Saccharomyces cerevisiae S288C: one gene and its partners. Changing the gene in region 3 together with the main gene of any one other region gives a genetic interaction. Each region holds a gene or a part of one and is shown on either strand. Other genes may lie near its edges.

The links. A genetic interaction does not mean that the proteins touch.
Region 1: mutations in UPS1 (region 3) and CQD1 together harm fitness more than expected from each alone (negative genetic interaction), as found in Saccharomyces cerevisiae (4 studies listed by BioGRID, with this or other methods).
Region 2: mutations in UPS1 (region 3) and CRD1 together harm fitness more than expected from each alone (negative genetic interaction), as found in Saccharomyces cerevisiae (4 studies listed by BioGRID, with this or other methods).

The regions. Positions count from the first base shown.
Region 1 is NC_001148.4:343,616-349,245, forward strand, and holds CQD1 (Cqd1p), read right to left. Parts: upstream 3,775-5,630; coding exon 1,982-3,774; intron 1,830-1,981; coding exon 1,649-1,829; downstream 1-1,648. Other genes in the region: GDE1 (glycerophosphocholine phosphodiesterase), read right to left, coding at 1-1,124; YPL108W (uncharacterized protein), read left to right, coding at 4,831-5,337; DPC25 (Dpc25p), read left to right, coding at 5,504-5,630.
Region 2 is NC_001136.10:200,071-204,411, forward strand, and holds CRD1 (cardiolipin synthase), read right to left. Parts: upstream 2,501-4,341; coding exon 1,649-2,500; downstream 1-1,648. Other genes in the region: chaperonin-containing T-complex subunit CCT4, read left to right, coding at 1-1,512; biotin--[acetyl-CoA-carboxylase] ligase BPL1, read left to right, coding at 2,969-4,341. UniProt on the Saccharomyces cerevisiae protein: Catalyzes the synthesis of cardiolipin (CL) (diphosphatidylglycerol) by specifically transferring a phosphatidyl group from CDP-diacylglycerol to phosphatidylglycerol (PG).
Region 3 is NC_001144.5:538,528-544,472, forward strand, and holds UPS1 (Ups1p), read right to left. Parts: upstream 2,010-5,945; coding exon 1,482-2,009; downstream 1-1,481. Other genes in the region: HCR1 (translation initiation factor eIF3 core subunit j), read right to left, coding at 265-1,062; NCW2 (Ncw2p), read right to left, coding at 2,282-3,046; glycylpeptide N-tetradecanoyltransferase NMT1, read right to left, coding at 3,410-4,777; rRNA-processing protein PWP1, read left to right, coding at 5,441-5,945. UniProt on the Saccharomyces cerevisiae protein: Required for maintenance of normal mitochondrial morphology. Required for PCP1-dependent processing of MGM1.

The sequences.
Region 1 (5,630 bases), on a different chromosome or scaffold from region 3:
ATTTCTCCCTCACTATTAGTATATTTTGAGGGTTGTGACTTCTTTTTCCTACTTAAAATTTCCTGTTTTCTGATTAACTTCCCGATTGCAATTATGTGATGATGGAAAAAATTTCTTCTGTTAATATCTTCCGAGTCATTTAGAGACGGAATAACCTTTAAGATAGCATCAATACATGCCAGTGATTTAGACAGTGCTGCCTTGTTTAAAACACTTATCATAATTCTTGTTGGAATCAAAGACAATTCCGAATATAGGTTTGTTAGCTCTCTAATCAATCCTTTGCTATCATCTTCTTCTATAAAAACGCAAATAATCTTAAAGAATTCTGTATTATCATTAGCATTTGCGTTCGGCGAGGTACTCCTCATTACTCTCTCGTAAGAATTTATCCTGAACGTCACTTGTTCCCAGATAGTTTTTAGCAAACTCAAATCTTTGGTAATAAGAGAATCATTAGCAAATTGTAACGGCAAGATTCTAGTTTTCATAGTTGACATTTGCTGATTTGTGCCGACTTTTTTATCCAGTTTCTTTAAAATCTTACCAAAAGCTCTCTTATTTAGTTCAGCGTACCACTTTAAGTTTCTAAATTGTTTTCTTAACTCAGCTAAGATAGACTGAATTTCAATTAAGTCATCTTTATGGTAAGATAGACGGCTGGCTTGACTTGTTCCCTTTAAAAGCATATTCATCTCTCTCGTATCCTTTGTGAGTAAGGTTTGCGCTACTGCATCTTCTTTGTTGGCATCGACCACTAATGTTGATTTTATCTCATTGAATTGATTAGAAGAAAGCAATCTCTCAAATCTTTTCTTATATTCCGCATACTGGGAATTGTAAAATGTATCAACCTTCTCAATATCCCTGTCAACTGCAAAGAAAAACGACGCCAATAACTTTTGGATTTTTGGAGAGTCCAAATAATTTTGAGCACTATTAGATGAATCTCTCATTTTTGTTGGTGGCCTGCCTTCATCATAGCTATTCTTGTTATGTGCCCTATATATGTCTTCTTGAAGTCTTGTAATTTCTTTAATCATTTTCTTCAACGACTTGTAGCCAACATATTGACTTGACCACTCTGGAATGCGATGATTGGCAAAGGTTTTTCCGAACTTCATTGATTATATTGTTTGATTATATAAAGACCTTACAGTTTCAGTAGTTTGTCACCTTAGTTGGAGATAGTGGCTATTTTTGTGTAATTTGATGAGGGTTCCCTTCTTAGTTGGGTTTAAATTTTTTGCTACCGTTGCCTTATTGTTCAATGAAGCACTAATTGCAAAACTTAAACTCTTTAATAGTCTCACTTTGTAAGACAATAATTTATTTTTTACTTCTGTCAGCCAACGCTCTCTTTTTAATATAATGTGCACGTTCTAAAAATAATTCTCTTATTCAGTTGGCGCTATTAAGTGAATTAGAAACGTTTTGACGAAATTTACTATTAAAAGAACACTACGAGTCGATAATGACAGCACTGGTCTAAATTTCAGCTAGAGCAACAGCAAATTATTATTTGTCACTTAAATAAACTTGGTCGTTTTTTTGGAGAGCTAATATGTTGGGACAGCGTGTGTAACATTGCTCCACCTGCGAACACGTGGAAGTCGCAATTATAAAAGATGCATAAAAAGAAAGAATATTAATAATTAGGACACAATTGATCAGTCCTGACAAGATCGTATATTTGCTTCATCGAGAGATGCATTAATTGACGCACTTCTAAACCAACCCATATCTTGAGCATTGATAATGTGCTTGCATCTTTCAAGAGACTTTTGGCTTCCCGCTTAAACCCGAATTCACGTAATATAGGCAGCGAACTGTTTACGAAGAGAAGTTACAAGATGTGGGTATTTTTGTTAGTAAAAGAATTTCTTTAGTAGCAATAAAAAGCAAAAAAAAGCAATAGAAAAGGGTTTTAAAAAATTGATGTTATTCTTTAAAACCGTTAATCCATGCGTAAAATACGAACCTTTCAAATAAGTCCAAGTTTGGATCTAACTGGCGTCCAATACCCTCTAGAAGTAAAATAGCGACCACCACGGAAACAAAGTCGGACTCCATTCTAACATGGTGCGACCTTACCATACTAAGCATTTGATCGAGTAAATCGCCAATTGAGACGGTTCCCAATGTAAATGTTCTTTGTTTAACTTTATCCACTAGCTTTTCTACCTTAAACGCAAATACTTCCTTATCAATAGCTGTTTCTGGAGTTCTTGATCTCTCAATCATCAACTCACCAGCTCTATAACCATCAAATCGGGCCAATGCGTTGAATAGAGCTATGAAATTAATTCTGTTTTTTTCATTCAATTCTGTAATTATTCCTGTATCGATAAAACAAATTTGGGGAGTGTAATTAGTTAATACAGACTTCAGTTTTCCAACAAAGTCCTGATCTTGGTCCTCCTCTATCTTCTTCCTCAGGTCGTGCGTTATTCTGTACGATTCAAGTTCGGAGGATATAATGTTTGTGCCGTATTTGTTCGTCTTCACAAATCTGATTATAACATTGCCTGGATGCAAATCAGCATGAACAAAATCATCAAGAATTAGCATTTGTAGAAACGCGTCAACGAAGGGATCACTGACTTTTTTACAAAGTTCAACGTCGTTAATTTGCTTCTTCGTAGATAAAAACTTTTCCATGGAAAGACCATATACATGCTCTTCGAACATAACATCCCTATTTGACAAGGGGAGAAATGGTTTAGGAAATTTCACCTGAATAGAATTTTTAAAGTTCTCATTGAATCTTTCCAGGTTTAACGCCTCAATTCTTAGATCCAACTGAATATTCATTAATATGGAAAACTGATCGACTTCGCTGGGTAAAGACAGCCATTCCATAGTCGGAATCCAATTTATTGCGTCAGCACAGAATTTCATTATTTTCAAATCTCTCCGGATCTGAGATCTTACATTTGGATGCAAGATCTTGATGGCACACCAACGATTTCCATCCTTACCAATTTGTATATTGTCATATTTATCGATGTACTTTTGGGATAGTTCACCCACGTAAACTTGTGCGATGGACCCAACTCCAATTGGTGTTCGATTAAATTCATCAAAAGCATCTTCGATCTTGTCAACCTTTAATGCTTGAGAAAGTTTTTCCAGAGTAAAGCTTAGAGAGTGAGCTGTAACGTTACTATGCAATTTACCCAACTCATGACACAGTGCGTGAGAGAATATATCGGTTCTCGATCCTGCCCATTGTCCGAGTTTAATGAAACTCGGGCCAGCCAATTCCAATGCTTTACGCAGTAGTTGACACCAAATCAATGAACCTCGAGTTTCAGTTATATTGGTGTCCGTAATTTTGAGTTTATGACCAAACCATGATATGGGGTATAATAGGAGAAGAGGTAAAAAAATAGCTGAAATTTCTAAAAACCTTAAAATCGTGCATACAGGCTCAACAATATTATCATTAAAACCGAACCAAAAGATTCTTAGATATCTTATTAATTTATTTCGTGATTCAGTGATCTTAGCAGACCTGAAAGATTTAAGCTTTTCCTGCAATTCGTTTTCTGAGGAAACGTAGAGGCCCATTTCAAAAGTATCACCTTTGGGATCCGGTTTTAGAGAATCATTGTATATCAAACAATTTTGTTTTGGAAACGAATTTTGTGTCAAATAAAAAGCAATTGACGTAGGTATTATGAACTGTCTTATAGGTATTTTATGAAAATGCCGTGTGGACTTGCTATAGTATCGCCAAGAGTTTCTATAAGCGAACTTTAAAAATGACATTGCCCAGATGGTTCTGATGTTCTTTATCTCTATTCTGTGAGGGTTTGATATTGATGAGTAGGTAGAAGATATGGTATAAGGTATTTTCTATAACATCAAACATCTTTTCTTTTTCATCAAATGAGTGAAAAGGTATTATTGCCCCTCATATATTCGGGGTTATTTATTTTTCGTTGCTTGAAGTAAAGCCTTTAATACACACTTAGTATTTAAACACTTAAGATTTACGAATCACAGATTCTAAATTTGTATTTAATAAATTGATTCTAAGTACAGGAAGTATCAAGGGGGGGGGTTGACAGATAGAATCACACCTTGATTAATTTAGTTCCTGATGAACAAGCCAACTTGACCAATCAAACCCTTTCGCGGCACTTTTTCTCTTAGCTCTGCTTGATACATCGACTGGGAACTTCTTCTCTTTGAGCCAACTAACCTCAATCCCTTAAAGATTTTGTAAACCGCAGAAACACCTGGTTGTTTTCGCTTGTTGGCAAAGGTTAATAACACAGTAACTTTCAATCTTGTTCCGAAGTGCAGAGTGCAGTTCCCTGTGTGTTCAAGTGACATACGGCATTTGAATACACTACACTTATCGTCATGTCAAAACAAGTGTTATAGAAGCAGCGTTAATATAATATTAGTACCTGTACAGTTTTAAACTCAATTGAGTGCAAAGATCTGATGCATCCCATTTTAGTTTCTCATAAATTATTGCTTTGGTTCATAGTTCAATTGTAAGCATTATTAAAACAACTGCTTCTATTTAGACAATACAAGAACGCGATCTTTCCAGTAACTGCCTAATCTGAAATTATGTTTTTCAGTTGCGCCTGTGGCCTACACAACTTGCATAATAAGCAGTTAAAAATAACTCCTAATCTTACTAATCTTGTCGAACTAGACTAGCTGTAATGATCTGTCATATATAAGTTAATATTCAACATCGACTGTAATTGTCAATTCAATCTTGACAGCAACGATTGAAGTCATCGCCTCGCCGTAATTGAAAAAAAAATGTAAGATGAATAACAGCTAAGAAAGATAATAATTTTTATGAAAGAAGCATCTGATAGAGAAGAAGCACCAAAAATGGTGGAAAAAAACTATAGTACAGGTTTTAGGAAAGCCCACGGAGAGAAGGATCAATCAGTGACTAAGCCAATCTCGTTAGATGGTAGAACAGGTGAAGTAATTGTTAGAAAATCCACCGGGAAAACTAAAATACGTAAAGGTCAAACGGAAGAAGAGTATACACAGCAATTGCAGCACTACTTCGAAGTAGAACAAGGCCCTGTGCGGACAAAGGTAGGATGGATGGATGAGGTAGATCCCTTGGTTGAGATCCGGGAAGGCAAGTACGATATCTCCAATAAGCATCAGCGACAGGTGCTTAGTGGTTTCTGCCATCGTTTATTTTACCAATGTAAGTACAAGGAGTGTCTGGATCTCAGCACCTATTTTCTGGGGCTCTTTGAACCGTTCAACGTGAAGAATAAAATGAAGAGGGAGCTTGAAGAGTTGGAATATATGATCGAGCGATGTCGTGGGCATGTATTATAAGCCCGAATCAGATACTCAAATTTGAAAAAAGATATCTTTCTCCTCCGACATGGCCGAACTCATTTACATAAATAGCATAAATTAAACAGAATAATAATACGTAAATTACAACAGTCAGAGGGTGCATGAAACCGTCATTAGATAGAGACGTGATCAAAAGTAGAAAATGATAAGAAATCAGGGATGGTCATTACTTTACAGAATTTATCCGGTGCGGAGGTTCACAAGATACTCCAGAGTAGATATGACTTTTGAAGGAAACACTCAAGATATCTCTACTTCTGTCGAAGAAA
Region 2 (4,341 bases), on a different chromosome or scaffold from region 3:
ATCGCTGCACGTTCTGTTGCAGATGCCATCCGTACTTCATTGGGTCCCAAGGGTATGGACAAGATGATTAAGACATCTCGTGGAGAAATCATCATCTCTAATGATGGCCACACCATTCTAAAACAGATGGCCATTCTGCATCCGGTGGCCAGAATGCTAGTAGAGGTTTCTGCCGCGCAGGACTCGGAAGCCGGTGATGGTACCACTTCTGTGGTGATCTTGACCGGAGCTCTATTGGGTGCTGCTGAGAGGCTGTTAAACAAGGGCATCCATCCAACCATCATTGCGGACTCCTTTCAAAGTGCTGCGAAGAGATCTGTCGATATTCTTTTAGAAATGTGCCATAAGGTTTCGTTGAGCGATAGAGAACAGCTGGTTCGTGCTGCATCCACTTCTTTGAGTTCCAAGATTGTGTCTCAATACTCTTCGTTTTTGGCGCCCTTGGCAGTGGACTCCGTATTGAAGATATCTGATGAAAACTCTAAGAATGTTGACCTGAACGATATCAGACTGGTCAAAAAAGTTGGTGGTACCATTGATGACACAGAAATGATAGATGGTGTGGTCTTGACACAAACGGCAATCAAATCTGCTGGTGGTCCGACAAGAAAGGAAAAAGCAAAGATTGGGTTAATTCAATTCCAAATATCTCCTCCAAAGCCCGACACAGAAAATAATATCATCGTTAATGACTATAGACAAATGGATAAGATCCTTAAAGAAGAAAGAGCGTATTTGCTAAATATCTGTAAAAAAATTAAAAAGGCCAAGTGTAACGTGCTGTTGATTCAGAAATCCATCTTGAGAGATGCGGTAAATGATTTGGCTCTTCATTTCTTGTCAAAATTGAACATAATGGTGGTAAAGGATATCGAGAGAGAAGAAATCGAGTTTCTGTCGAAGGGCTTGGGTTGTAAGCCAATTGCTGATATAGAATTGTTCACCGAAGATAGATTGGGTTCCGCTGATTTAGTTGAGGAGATCGATAGCGATGGTTCCAAGATAGTTAGAGTAACTGGTATAAGAAACAATAATGCAAGACCAACCGTCTCTGTTGTTATTCGTGGTGCAAACAACATGATCATTGATGAAACAGAGCGTTCCCTCCATGATGCACTATGTGTTATTCGTTGTCTAGTGAAAGAGAGAGGTTTAATCGCTGGTGGTGGTGCTCCAGAAATTGAAATATCCCGTAGGTTGAGTAAGGAAGCAAGGTCTATGGAAGGTGTACAGGCTTTTATTTGGCAAGAATTTGCCTCTGCTTTGGAAGTTATTCCAACGACTTTGGCTGAAAACGCAGGTTTGAATAGTATCAAAGTTGTCACAGAATTGCGCTCTAAGCATGAAAATGGTGAATTGAATGACGGTATCTCTGTTAGACGATCTGGTACTACGAACACCTATGAAGAACACATCTTACAACCCGTACTTGTTAGTACAAGTGCAATTACCTTAGCGTCTGAATGTGTTAAATCCATCTTACGTATTGATGATATTGCATTCAGCCGTTAACATGGGTTTCCCAGTATCCATATGTTTATGCATATATACATATATATGTTGATTTAGTGTATTTTCCACTACATAAAAACTAAAAAACATTCAAAATGAAAAGTCAGGACCCTTTTCAAAAAGGATCGCAATTATACTATTTTAAAAGTTTAAAAGCGTTTCTCTTTAATGCGTAGGATACTCCGCTCATTATTGTGGTCGTGGCGGTTACATACCCTAAATAGCTAAAGGCCTTTTGAAAGTCCTGTTTTCTATCTTCGAAATCCTCCTCGGTTTTTTCACAGCCCTCTTCTTTCTCATATAAAAGTAATAATACTCCAGATCCAAGATATACCATTTGGAAAAACGTGTTCCATTTTGATAGTTGGGAAGGTCTGACCTCAGCGCTGGGATAGCGAACAATATCCCAATAGGAATTCCATGCCACACGACCAGGATATTTCAACTTTAAAGTGCTATATCGTATAAACAAAGCACTTATGGCTAGTAGCACATCTCTACCCAGAATTATCGCCGCAATAGATACCGGTATAATCTGAGGGCCGGATGGTACAGATAATGCCAAAGTTGTTGTGATCATGAGTAGTTTATCTGCAAGTGGATCTAATATGGTTCCTGCAATGGTTTTCAGGCCGTATTTTCTTGCTATATACCCATCCATAAAATCAGTGATGCTGGAAAATGCAAACAAACCTAATGCTGGGGTCAAATTATTCGTTATAATGAAGAGTCCGATAAAGGGTGTACATCCTATTCGTGATAAAGTCAAAATGTTGGGAATATTGAGCAACTTGCTCTTTATATGAGGAGTTTTACTCGGATTGGTAGCATATTCCCTCCTAGTGAGATCTCTGAAAAGATTGTAATTTAATTGCGGGTTTACCTTAAAGCGTACAGTTAACCCTGATAACACATGATAGAATGGCCTTTTCGGTATAGTTCTCCGAAGTAATGCGGAGCATGAATAAATGGGCACCATTTGAATCATTGACTAAATTATTAGGGACCAAACTATGCTACCAGGCCTGCTTGTTTCTCAATTGCCTCCTTTCTATATTTTTTCAATTGTAAATATTGTATACTCCCGATTAAGAGGATGGCTTCATGAATCGAGCTTTTTCACACTCCAGTTTCGGAAATAGTCGCCGCACAATGATTCGAAGACATGACTGTGAAGTGTTGGTTGACATTTAATATGGTTTCATGTAAGAGATCCCAGAGCTACGGACTTGGCTTTTTCTTCCTGTAATTGTTTGCCAAACGTTGGGTAAACGCACATATAAGTATATTTTACTTTCCTTCTCCCTTCGTCAGTTTTTCTTTTGCTGTAATATATTGTTCTCAAAAGTTGTTTGGTATACAAAAGTGCAAGGTTTTTACTGGTTGTTACAGGTTCAGAGTTCCAATAAAGAAGATATTAGAACGATCTTATCAATATTATCCAATTTCAACTAATATGAATGTATTAGTCTATAATGGCCCAGGGACTACGCCAGGATCAGTTAAGCATGCTGTTGAAAGTTTACGTGACTTTTTGGAACCCTATTACGCCGTCAGTACTGTCAATGTTAAGGTATTACAGACAGAACCATGGATGTCAAAGACCTCCGCTGTAGTTTTTCCTGGTGGTGCCGATCTTCCTTACGTTCAAGCTTGTCAACCCATTATTTCTCGATTGAAACATTTTGTTAGCAAACAAGGTGGTGTCTTTATCGGATTTTGTGCAGGAGGTTACTTTGGCACCAGCCGTGTAGAATTTGCTCAAGGTGACCCTACAATGGAAGTATCAGGAAGCAGGGATTTGCGATTCTTTCCGGGAACAAGCAGAGGACCTGCGTACAATGGATTTCAGTATAACAGCGAGGCCGGTGCACGTGCAGTTAAATTGAATCTTCCAGATGGCTCACAGTTCTCAACTTATTTCAATGGAGGAGCCGTTTTTGTTGATGCAGATAAATTTGATAATGTCGAGATCTTGGCCACGTACGCAGAACACCCGGATGTGCCTTCTTCTGACTCAGGAAAAGGTCAAAGTGAAAACCCAGCTGCTGTAGTGCTATGTACGGTCGGAAGAGGAAAGGTTTTACTCACTGGACCACACCCTGAATTCAACGTCCGTTTTATGAGGAAATCCACAGATAAGCATTTTCTTGAAACCGTTGTGGAAAACCTGAAAGCACAGGAAATCATGAGGTTGAAATTTATGAGAACGGTTCTTACCAAAACTGGGTTGAATTGTAATAATGACTTCAATTATGTAAGAGCTCCAAATTTGACACCACTGTTTATGGCTAGTGCACCTAATAAGCGGAATTACTTGCAAGAAATGGAAAACAACTTAGCTCATCATGGAATGCATGCAAATAATGTTGAACTCTGCTCAGAATTAAACGCCGAAACTGACTCTTTCCAATTTTATAGAGGCTATAGAGCCTCTTACGATGCAGCAAGTTCGTCCTTGCTTCATAAAGAGCCAGATGAGGTTCCTAAGACCGTAATATTTCCTGGCGTAGATGAAGATATTCCACCATTTCAATATACGCCCAATTTTGACATGAAAGAATACTTCAAGTATCTGAATGTTCAAAACACCATAGGTTCTTTACTTCTATATGGTGAAGTTGTTACATCAACGAGTACCATATTGAATAATAATAAATCCTTATTAAGTTCGATCCCTGAAAGCACTTTACTTCACGTGGGTACTATTCAGGTTTCTGGGCGTGGGAGAGGTGGTAACACTTGGATTAATCCTAAAGGTGTTTGCGCATCAACGGCCGTCGTAACAATGCCGCTTCAATCGCCTGTGACTAATCGAAATATATCAGT
Region 3 (5,945 bases):
GTACTTCTTAACAAAAAGCCAGATAACGGTGCAAAAACACATTATATTCTCCATCTTGAAAACACAATCTCCTACGTACACATATGCGTATTTATTTTTATATGAATGAAACGCCTATGGATATATATATGGGAATATAGACATTCACAATTTCAGGACAATTGTGATATGGCAATATCCAAGGCCTGCGGTGCTGGGCTTCGCTTTTTTTCACCAACAAAATGAGATGGACAAGTTTATCATAGCAAAGAAACAATAAGCAGATTACATAAAGTCGTCATCACCGAATTCAAAATCGTCGGGGCCATCTAGGTCGAAATCTTGATCTTTCTTAAATGCGCCACCCAAATTGGTCTTACCTTTGACTTTCTTCTTACCAGCACCCCCAGTAGCAGTACCACCTCTAACACGGGCCAGACGAGCTTGCCTCTCCTCTCTTTCCTTATCTTTGATCAAAACGTTCAAAGTAGCAACTGTTTGTCTTATAGATTCGATGGACATTGGTTTTGCTACATCTCTAATCAAATCAATCGCTAACGATGAGGAGTAGTTCAGCGGAGATTTTTTGTTCATTGGTGTAATAGCAGCAGTAAGAGCCTTTCTTAAATCCTGGTACTCTCTCTTTGTTTCGGCGTTAAACAAAGGATGTGTTTCGATAGGTGTGTCCTTGGTAAAGGCGGGTCTTTTTAGAGCTTGTTCCTCTTGTTCCTTTTGTAAAGCACGAGCCCTTGGATGTTCTTCGGCAACACCTAAACCCGCAAACAAATCTGCAGCATTGTTTAAGTCAGACTCCATTTCAGCCTTTTTGATTAATTCTTTACGTGTCTTTTCATCCAATGTGTCAATATCCAATAGGGCTCTGTCAGCGGAGGATTCTTTCCCTTTTTTAACCTTTTTTGGTTGTTCTTTTTTTGGCTTTGGGGCAGGCTTCTTTTCTTCCTCTTCTGCATCCCATGATTGCATGACAGGTTCGTCATCACCAATTTCAGCATCCCATGAGTCCATCAAAACGGCGTCATCATTACCCATAGAACCATTGATAGCTTCGTCGTCCCAAGACATTTTTATTACTTTTTTTTTTTTGAGGTGGTGGTTAGGATAGAATAGTTACAAGGAACTCAAAAGATAGTAAGATAATTTAAAGCGAGAGTTCAAGAATGGTGGGAGCAGTCAGTTCTCAATTCTTTAATGTAGTACTTCTGACTTAGCTAGCATGAAAAAAAAATTCGGAAAATGCCCAAAAACAGGTGTGTTCGTCTAATATGATACAGGGACGACCATAATATCAAGATTAGTGACATTTGATGTATAGTTTAGCAGAATGACTGTTATAAATAAATAATTATATATGTGTGTATATTAAATTTTGTTGAACCAGCGCTTATTTACAATTTTTAGGACGTGACCAAATGCGAGCTGCACTAGTTTTCTCAATTTCGCTCGCCCATGGTGATATCTTTAAAGATCTTTAAATGGGAACATCAAAACTGAGGATTTCTCGCCTCTTCGAGTTTTTGGATAACAAATGCCATGCCCATTCTGCTTTTCTTAACGTTTTCGTCAAATTTAGTGCGCGACCAATCCTCTACCTTAGATTTGATACCCATATTGAAGCCACTTGAAAACTTCACCCGGCTGTCTGCTATCGTACTACTTGTAGCACTGTCAAATTGATAGGTAGTATATTCTTCAACCTTCATGATTCCAGTGTGATCCAGATTCCTAGTGTAAGTTTTCATTGTGGAGTTAGCGGGGTTCACTACGGAAACTTCGATTATCCATGTTTCTGTTATACCTCTTAAAAAGGGTTTGACCCATGTGGGCAGCTTTCCGGACTTTTTCAACAGCCTCGTTGTGCGCAAATTTCCTTCTTGATCAACGTTCCTTGATATTGTGTCTATGGATAGTACATGGGGGGAGTATGGATTGGGGTATCTATTAAAAAAGGCGCGTGAAACAGAGGCAAAATCGGTAGGAAATATATGTGTGCTTTTGTGTAAAAGGACCATTGCAACTCTTAAGGATATCTTACCGCCGTCTCAGAAGCCAGACAATACTTATTGAATATGATTACTCATCCATCTGTCATATATATTTTTTTTTTCTAGCTTATTATCCAGGGAGAGCGAGAAATACTGCGGAGTTTTTCACCCGAAAGAAAAAAAATACGCAAGCACGATGATAACAATAGTTATATTATTGGTTACCTACAGTGTATAAAAAGAAAGAGTTTTATTAAAATGCAGAACTATGTGGTGGTATACAGAACTGATTATACATTCTATAACAAAAGGGCACCAACGGCGAATGCACCCGCACCATAAGCTATGTGAGTGCCGGCAAAGGCGCCATTGGTAGAATTGGACATTACGGACGCTACCTTACCGTTGACTGTAGACTTGTATGTAGTGGTCAGTGTCTCTACTGTAGAACCTGACGTAGTGGTATAAGTTGATTTGATAGTGCTTACTACCTTGGTGCTTGATTCCGGTTTTGATGAGGATCCCGAAGATGATTTACTTGATGAAGCCGTGTTGTCAGTTGTGGCTGAGGACGGTAGCCACCAAACAGTAGATGTGTAAGTCTCACCTAACGAATTCGTGGTAGTTACTATAGTAACTGGCCCGTCCGTTGATGTTGATGTCGTTGAGGAGGATGCGGAGTTGGTGATTCCGCTTGACGTCTCTCCGGTGGGCTGCACAGAGGCAGTTGAAGTTGTGCTTACGGCAGAGTTGCTTTCGGCCACCCACCATAGGTACTGTGTCGTGGTTTTGCCTTGTGCATCCGTCGTCACTACGGTGGTACTTGGAGCCACAGCATAGGTGTTGCTGACGACGTTGCTAGTTTGTACTAAGCTTTTTCCGGTAGAAACTACAGTTGATGCGCTTTCTTGGGCTTCCTTTGTCGTGGTAGGTGTGATCTCTTGAGAGTTTGAGCTTTCCTTTTGTGAGCTATCTTCAGAGTTCTGGCCATCTAAGGAACCAGAGTCTTTTTGAGCAGCGGCTAGAGTAATTAAGGTGGTAAATAATATGGAACAGGCCTTCATTTTATATATATGTTGGGTTTGTTTATATTTTCACTAGATCGGTGAGTATCTAGTCCAGAAGAGTTGATCTTTCTTACATACTTATATATGCTCACTACCGCCTTCTGAGAAAGTAGGCGTTTTTCAGCTACCTCAGTCGCTAAAAATAAATGCGAGTTCTCAAGCCAACTTGGACTCCAAGGCGGTAATTATAGTGATTCTCTTTGTCTATTTTTGGATTTATTTTGGAGGCTGACACTCTAAAGCCAGCCATTGGATTAATTATTTTTTCACTTCGTCAATTGACTATGCGGAAAAACTAAATGTGGTCAAATTCTGTCGGCTATGTACACGAAAACTATATACGCCTCGTCCTTTCAGCCACTACAACATAACAACACCGACATTGCTACGCCTTTTAATGTCGTTACTATTGTCGGGATTCAAGCCACCGGTAATCGGCTTTGCTCTATAATTAAATAAATAGAAGTTCAAGAACCCGTCACCGGGCCCGAACTTCAAATCATCCAAGAACAATGTATTATCTTGCGAAGTCAACGCGTTAAAAACATCCATATTAGCGTTTTTGGCCAAAATACAAGCGTCATAAATCAATTCACACAATCTTGTTTTCAAAGCCTTAGTAGCTTTTGGATCAAACCTGTCTTTGAATTGGAAATCTGCATCGGTGGCATAATAATACAAGTACCCGATGCCTAGGTCCTTATATTTTGTGTTATTTAGGATTGTGAATGGCAATGAGTAAAATGAGAAGAAGTCTGTAATTTTTCCATCGGGCTGTTCGACTACATATGAGAAAATTACTTGTTTATCCAATGGTAACGATTCTTCACCAATGAAATTATGTTCGAATTCTTCTTTTGTGAAAATTTGAATTAGTTCGAACCTGGATTGATATCTTTTGAACAACTCAAAAACTTGGTCAATATCTTCCTTCTTTAATTTTCTCAATCCCGCTGTCTTTGTTTTGGCCGGTAACGCATTCTCAGCAATCATATCCTCCTCTGTGTGCCCATCTGGTAACCCTGTGAAATCTACTTCATAAAGTTTCTTCCAATTCAAGGGACGATGAGTATAACGACACGTACTCACAGGTGCTGGCAAAACAATACCTGCCGTGTACAATGCATGCCAGATGTCACATTTGTTCACTCGTCTCGTAATTTCTTTAATTAGAACAGGTGTTAATCTCTTCGATCTTAGCTGTTTGTGAACGCACAAGAAATTGATTTCTACACTAGGCACTTGTTTACCTCTAACACCAAGTGTTACTGGTATGGCTGAGATAAAGGCAACTAATTTCTGTGTTTCTTTAACGCGAACACCAATATGCCAATCCTTCTTCCAACCTGGACTCTTTAAAGCCCAATTGAAGAATTCTTTGGTATAGTTAAATCTGAAGCCTGCATCGCGGTCTTCCACGTAGTTTTCATTTAGTAGAACGAAAACATCTTCAAGCTGTTTTTTGTTGTCCACATCAATACTACACCATTCGAAGCTAGACAATAAAGGTAGTGGCTTGTCAGATATATCTTCCGGTGTCTTTGGCTTATCAATGGGGCCTTCTTCCACCACCTTTTCATCGAAATCTTTGACCGGTTGCGTTCTCCAGAATTTGTGGTCTTTCATAGCTTTTTTCTGTTCTTGAGTGAATTTTGAAGTATCGTCATTATTCAACTGTAATAACTTCAATAAATTCTCTAATTTTTTCGCTTTATCCTCTTCTGACATTCTATAAATACGTTTACTACCGAAGCTCTATGACAACCAGAGCTATTGTACAGATCATTCTCTAAAAAGCGTGCAACACATATCATCTTCAATTATAGTGAATTACTTTTATCATGAGCAACGGCTGAAATTATTTTATCCTATTGTTTTATGACAGTATCCTTTCAAAAGAGTCGAAAGGATCCTCTGTTGCAAGAACTACTATTACGTAATTATACATAGTCCGCCTGCAATTTCTAGTGAGACTTTGCTTTGCTTTCCACTTTGCGATTAATATTGAGAATTTTAAACGTTAACTGAATTCTTACCCACCCATAATAAGAACTCTAACTGGCGAATTTATCATGAAACAAATCTGCAAGAATAAAAAATTAGAGAATCGTGCAATTCAATTTAATTGCCTTGTCCGTTGTAAAACTTTTCCATAGGCCCTACCTTGAGTTGATCATATGTATTATTCTATATATATTATATCCAGTCGGGTAATAAATTTTCTCGCCCTCGAAAAAAAGAAGTGAAAAATTTGTCTCGATGAGCTGAGATGAGTTTGAAAGAAGCAAAGAGTTTTAATTTGTAAACGATAGCAAGTGTACCCTCAGTTGAGTCTATTACGCCTTCCTTATTTGGAAACTTAGAAGACGAATAAAAAAAACAAAATAACTAATGATTTCTGCTACTAATTGGGTTCCAAGAGGGTTTTCCTCGGAATTTCCTGAAAAGTATGTTCTGGATGATGAGGAAGTGGAAAGAATTAACCAATTAGCACAGTTGAATTTGGATGATGCTAAAGCTACTTTGGAAGAAGCAGAAGGCGAATCAGGTGTTGAAGATGACGCCGCAACAGGTAGTTCTAATAAGTTGAAGGATCAGTTGGATATAGATGATGATTTGAAAGAATATAACCTGGAAGAATATGACGATGAGGAAATTGCAGATAATGAGGGTGGTAAAGACGTTTCCATGTTCCCGGGTTTAAGTAATGATAGCGATGTTAAATTCCATGAGGGTGAAAAAGGTGAAGATCCATATATTTCATTGCCTAATCAAGAGGATAGTCAAGAGGAGAAGCAGGAGTTACAAGTTTACCCATCCGATAATTTAGTTCTTGCTGCGAGAACAGAAGATGACGTTTCGTATTTGGATATCTACGTTTACGATGACGGTGCTG